Arabidopsis thaliana: one gene and its partner. The protein of the gene in region 1 interacts with the protein of each later gene in a pairwise test. Each region holds a gene or a part of one and is shown in the gene's direction. Other genes may lie near its edges.

Region 1 (3,757 bases):
AGATTGAATGTTGTTATTAGAATCTTTCATTAGCATGATTCAAAAGATAAAGAGATACAAGCTGATTACTTTACCCTGCTAAACCAAGAAAGAAGAGTGAAAAGAAGATGCTTCTATTCATAGGAGGTCTGATCGTTCTACAAGAAATTAAAAGAGCAAATCTTTATCAAAAGACAAATCCAAGTCACACAAAATTGCAATCCATCATTAAACAATAGAACCAGAATTAACAAAGAAAAACAACCCTAATTCCAATTCCAGAGAGATCAAACTATTTGTCTGATTTTGCCGCATATAAACTCATCAAAACAATCAGAAACAGAGACTTCAGAGACTTTAGCAATTCAAGCAAAAGGATAAAGAAACAGAGAGATTTTGAGAAGAAGATAAAAAGGGACCTTTCACGGAAAAAAGCGAGAGGTGCGAGAATGGAGAGAGCAAGAAGATCGCGAAAGACACAAAAAACGAGCTGATTTACACCAACGTTAAGAGCTACTTTCGTAACCACATGGTATCCTCCATTTATGACCTGAACCAATGTCATTGCAGAGTGAGCCATTCGTGTTTCTCTCTCCGTCGCATCGCCGCCGTTTAGGATCGCCGGAGCTGCCATTTTTCTTCTCTACCTCCGAATCGAGGAAGAAGAGAAGGAACACCTGTTGACTAAAGAAATTGAGATCCTTTGATTTGCTCTGTAAATTGTAATTCTAACTTCTCTGTTTTTTCGTTCCAAAAAAAAAAAAAACTTCTCTGGTCATTGTAGTCGTTGGTCTTCTTCAATTTGTTAACTATGATTTTTTGTTAAGTTGAGGCAAAAAAAAATTTGCCAGATTATTTTCTTAAATCTTATACACATTGAAGCCTAACAGATTAACACATTTGTTAAATATGCTCATATATCCTACTTAAAAAATATGAAAATTTTCCACAAAAAATGGTGTAATATAAAAATTCGGTTTACTCGGGTTAAACGGTTCGGTTTGTTCGGTTTTCCGGGTTTTTCGGTTTTCAAAAATTCTGCCGAATTGAACCGAACAAAAATTCGGTTCGGTTCGGTTCGGTACTCGGTTTTTTCGGTTCGGTTACTAGGATTTATAATTCGCCGAAATTAAACCGAATTTTTTTTAATCGGTTAACCTAATCAGTTTAGATCACAATATTAGGCATAGTGGGCTGTTTTTAAAGCCCATATCGGCTTTTGACATTTAAAAACCCAAAACTTTTTTTTTGAGGGACAAGTAAAGTCAAAAAGCCCATGACGGTTTTTAACTTTTCAAAACCCAAATTCTTTTTTTCCAGGGACAAGAAAAGCCCATCACACCCATCTAGGGTTTTGTTTTGTTTTATTTTTTGGAAATGACGGCCGTCAAAGAAAAACAAGGGTGAGATGAAGAAGAAGAACATTGAAAACAGAGAAAATAGATTTGTATTGTGCGGTGGTGAGAAAAGATGTAGAGAACCATGAAATCATTGCCAGAGAAGATCGATGTCGCGGTGGCTTAATAGAATATTTCTGCGAACCTAAAAGGTGGAGAAGAAGAACGAAGACAAGGAGAAGAAGGAGGAATAAGGAAGAATTAGAAGGTTAAAAGATAAAAATGGGTTAGAGATGAGGAGAAATAAAGGTGTTCGTGAAGAGGAGAGTTTAGAAAACAAAGAAGATGAAGTGATAGATCTAGGATTTTTCTGTTTTAAAAGGTATCTCCCCAATCCGAACAAAACCGATCGGTTTTGATGAACCGAACCGAAAAACCCGAAAACCGAAATCAATTTAAAATTCTACCGAACGATTTACAACAGAAAATCGGTTTGAAACCGAAAACCGAAATCGTCGGTTTGTTCGGTTCGGTTTAAACGGGTTATGCCGAACTTCCAGGCCTAATTTTTACAGTGTAATACTGAAGTTGGTAAAATATGCCTTTATTTATGTCGATTAGTGGATCTAGTAATATAACATTTCCTTAAATGAAAAAACTCCTTAAAAAGTAGTTGCTGATCCAATAACAAATGTTCTGTTTTAAGAAAATTTAATTATAGTAGTAGTTCGAACGTCGTTAACTCGTAATAATAATTCAGAAAAATGTTGTTATTTAATCACGTTTAGAAAGCTAATTTGTATTAATGACGCTAACGACAAGGAGGAGGGTTAGTGTTATGGGCTTATTTATTAATATATGGCCCATTTAGGTTATTAGCCCATTTATCAAAATTATTCGGCCCGAGGTCGTCTCCAATCTCACGCCACCGATTCCAAACGCCAACCCTCTCGAGTCTTGTCTCTCTCCAATCCTTTCCTTGGCCGCATAAACGCAACCATCGTCGTCGGAGCTTTGATCTTCACCGACTGAAAAGTATGTCTGTTTCCGATGAGGAAGATGAGTGTTTCGCTCGATTCCTCGAATCAGAAGTCTCATCGGTATAAAAATTTCTCCGTTTATTCAAATTTTCGATTTCATTTAGGGTTTAGTAATTTCTTCTCCATCAATCTTTGAATTTTGTAGCTGAATCTGAAATTCTGTCGAGATTTTCCCGTTCCCCTAGTTTTTTTTTTCATTTTTGATAACTTCAGTTCCTTGATCTGTAAATTTGATCTTATATGCATACATTTGAAATTTTTGAAAAATCACATAATTTTTGTTCATGTTCTTCGATTGATGTCCATTGTGATTTTGCTCTTGTTCAGCGTTGTCCTGTGAAAGGTTAGATTATTTATTGATGCTTTGGTTTTTGTAGGTAGAGGATAAAGAAGAAACGAAAGAACCTGAGGCAAAACGGCAACGTATTGAGAAAGGCGAAACAAAGGCTCTAGAGAAGGATGAAGATCAAAAGGAAAATGGTAACAAAGATAAAACTGATGCAAAGAGAATAGAGAGTGGAGTTTTCACCAATGTTCCTACTGAGCTGTTTCGTCATATTCTCAAGTTCTTATCTTCGGAGGTATATACTATATAGTTCAAACTCGAACTTTATTGATGTTTGAGGATTGCTTTTAAACTAAATTGTTTGAATGTCATTACAGGATCTTGTATCATGCTCCTTGGTTTGTAAATTTCTCAATTTTGCTGCGGCTGATGAATCCTTATGGCGTCGCCTGTAAGCCTCTTCTTGTACCCCTTATTGTCGTTGATAATCTTGTTTTCAAAATCAATACTTTGTATTCAAAAACGATGTGATGATCTTATTGGTTGTTTTTTGTTTATATGCAGGTACTGTATCCGGTGGGGTCTAACTCTTCCAAGTAGAAAGTTACGTGAATCTGCTTGGAAGAAGCTTTATATTGATGTGAGTTTCTCCTTGGTTTTTCGTATAAACTTGTTAGATGTTTCCAAGTAGTATTACATTGCTGAAGAATATACAGTGTTAGTTTGCGTTGCTAGTAGAAGTCAGATCATATATATTTTTAAGTGATTCCTTTCTCTTGTCGAATTTTAGCGTGATGAACAGGACATGATTGAACTTGTCAGAACCTGTCCGTCGGATTTCAAGGAGTATTACGTACATATGCAAGCAGCAAAGAGAAGCCAAGCACCTCTTCCGTCCCAGGTAACTATTTATAATTATCTGTTTATGTTTTAGGACAAATCATCACGTGAAGAATTTTCTCATGTTCTTGTTTGCAATTTTTAGATGGTGGATGACCGGATAATTCTTGACAATACTGTACTTGAACAAGTTTCTCTATGGAAGAAAAGCAAAGGACTTACTGATAAGGCTGTCACTGGCCATATTTGTTTGGGAACCAAATGTTCATACCATC
Region 2 (2,600 bases), on another chromosome or scaffold:
TATAAGAATTCGTTTATAAGTATGATTAGTTAAAAATAAATGAAATTTGTAAGAAGACAAGATTTAAAAATGACACTTACATAGTTTTCGGAACTTTTGAGACAGATTTGTTTGAGTTTTCATGAGTATGGACAAGTTTTTCTAGAACAAGAACTTGTTTTGTCAAAAACTTTTTGATACTTGCCATAGTTACAGATTTTTCATACATGTTCCTAATATTGTTTATCAAATGTTGCGGTGATAGTTCAACAACTAGACCTATAAGAGCAAGTCATGCTTCGATGTGGCACCAACCTAGAGTTTATAAACCCCTAAGCAAAATGAAAAAATGTAATTTATAGGAATGAAATAAATTTTCAAATAATAACTTATATCTAAAATATAAAAAGTTATGCAAAATAATTTATAAAATAGTTAGTCACAAAAATTGTACAAAACTAAAAAAGTCTTATGTGATTAACTATAACCTATAACCTATTATTTAGGAAACAATTTAAAAATCAATGATATTTACTTATTTTTGCTACTGAAAATGCAAACCTGTTATTAAGTAATCGTAGAAAAGTCAAAAGGATTGTTATTCATTAACTCCCCCAAAAGCCAAGAAGAAGGAGAGTGAGAAATGGAGAGAAAACTTCACGACCACATTCACATTATAACTCAAATGTATATAAAAATTATCCATAAATAGCCTAGTCCTCATTCTCATATTCCTTTTGATTATTAGTGAGAACACAACACCAACAACAAAATGGGAGACTCACATTGCCGTTGTCTTCATGGCTTTATTTTGCTTGTTGTTCTGTTTCTTTCCTTCGTGTTTAGTTTCGCTTCAAAGATAGACGTTTCTTTTCACGGAGACGAGAAACGTAGTCTCTCTAGCTCCATTAATTCCTCTCTTAGTGAGTCAGCGGAATACACAATGTGCGCGACTCATAAAGAGGCTAAGGATGGTAAACCAATCGCATTGGATTTCGATTGCGAACAAGGATATGTTATTTCAAAGATCACTTACGCCGACTATGGCCAATCCACTGGTAGTTGTGGGAAATTTAAACGCGGTAATTGCGGTGCAAGCAATACCTTAAATATCGTCAACAAGGTATACAAAATCAATCAAAAATACAAATTTTCTTTCAAATAGTGTTCTTATTAATTATTATCGTTTGTTTGTGCAGAAATGTCTTAGGAAAGAGAAGTGTAAGTTGTTTGTTCCAGACAAGATTTTTGGTCCGAGCCACTGCAAGGGAGCTTAAGTCTCGTTATTGACGCTACTTGTAGAAAACTTAGTTTTTTTCTTGTTTTCCAAGTTAAAGTTTCTTTATGTAATCGACCTAGTCAAGCTTTTGTTTCCTACTTTACACGTTTGTTACATTTTTTCTCTTTGTTGCAAACCCCAAATGTGTATGTGCCATACAATATCAATCATCTTTGCCATATTTTATCGAACTGTTTATAGGTTACTCAATATTTTTCTCCTCAAAAAATGTGAAGACTGACACGTACCAAATCTTTTAAGTGAGAATCACAACAAATCACATAAAACACCAACCAATTCCATTCTTTTTCCTCTTTTGACACACTTTAATCCAAATCTGATCAAGTTTTGGGGCCACATTGCAAAATTGGGGCCCGTTGTAAGTTTTGGTCCCAATCTGAAAATGCATATCCCACCGACTCTGACAATTAGGGCTTATAAATAAACGAGCACATAAGTTCATAACTTGGTTACTTCATTATTCTTCCATCTTTTTCATCAAATTGCTAAGAGAGTAAAATCGCCCCATAACGAAGTAACCATGTCGAAGAAGATAATCGTGTTGACAAGCTCCGATGATGATAAAGGGTATGGCAGAAGACGATTGTGCCGATAATGGAATCCCTCTTCCAAACGTGACAAGCAAGATACTCTTATTGGTGATCGAGTATTGCAAGAAGCACGTCGTTGAGAGCAAAGAAGAAGATCTAAAGAAGTGGGACGCTGAATTCATGAAGAAGATGGAACAATCGATTCTCTTTGATGTTATGATGGCTGCGAATTATCTCAATATCCAAAGCCTTCTTGATCTCACATTTTCAAACTGTCGCTGATTTGCTCTCAGGCAAAACTCCAGGCGAGATTCGCTCATACTTCAATATCGAGAACGATTTCACAGCAGAGGGAGAAGCTGAGATCCGCAAGGTGAATCAATGGGCTTTTGAATGAAAGTGGATCTTCAAAGTTCTTTCTTCTTTAGTGTTTTCGGTTTTCTTGATGCGATGTTAGATGATTACTTCGTCTATTTCTTGTTTGTTCTGTTGTTTCTTTTCTTTTGGTTTCTTGATGCATAAGTAAACCAATGTTTGTTGTATCTTTACCCTAGAGACGATCTATTGTTGGATTTTAGTATATGCTAACCAAATCTGAAGATTGATGTTTTTGTTTTTGAAGCAATTCTTGAATATATGTGAAGTCAAATCCTTCCTTTTTTTTTTCTTATGGTAATTGAAGTTTACTAATCCGAAACTAATTATATGACACTTGAATTTTGATATTCTATACTTGTATCATAATTAATAATCAAGCAATAAATGCAAATTGTCAAGATTGAACATTCTAA

Evidence for each region.
Region 2: the proteins of AT5G45360 (region 1) and SK6 interact in a two-hybrid assay, tested with the Arabidopsis thaliana proteins (2 studies listed by BioGRID).

The regions. Positions count from the first base shown.
Region 1 is NC_003076.8:18,385,267-18,389,023, reverse strand, and holds the start of AT5G45360 (F-box family protein), read left to right. Parts: upstream 1-2,152; 5' UTR 2,153-2,353; coding exon 2,354-2,416; intron 2,417-2,733; coding exon 2,734-2,937; intron 2,938-3,019; coding exon 3,020-3,093; intron 3,094-3,206; coding exon 3,207-3,282; intron 3,283-3,432; coding exon 3,433-3,543; intron 3,544-3,627; coding exon 3,628-3,757. Other genes in the region: UMAMIT1 (nodulin MtN21 /EamA-like transporter family protein), read right to left, coding at 75-137, 399-613.
Region 2 is NC_003074.8:19,668,333-19,670,932, forward strand, and holds SK6 (SKP1-like 6), read left to right. Parts: upstream 1-1,833; coding exon 1,834-2,091; downstream 2,092-2,600. Other genes in the region: AT3G53050 (D-galactoside/L-rhamnose binding SUEL lectin protein), read left to right, coding at 752-1,102, 1,179-1,256. UniProt on the Arabidopsis thaliana protein: Involved in ubiquitination and subsequent proteasomal degradation of target proteins. Together with CUL1, RBX1 and a F-box protein, it forms a SCF E3 ubiquitin ligase complex. The functional specificity of this complex depends on the type of F-box protein.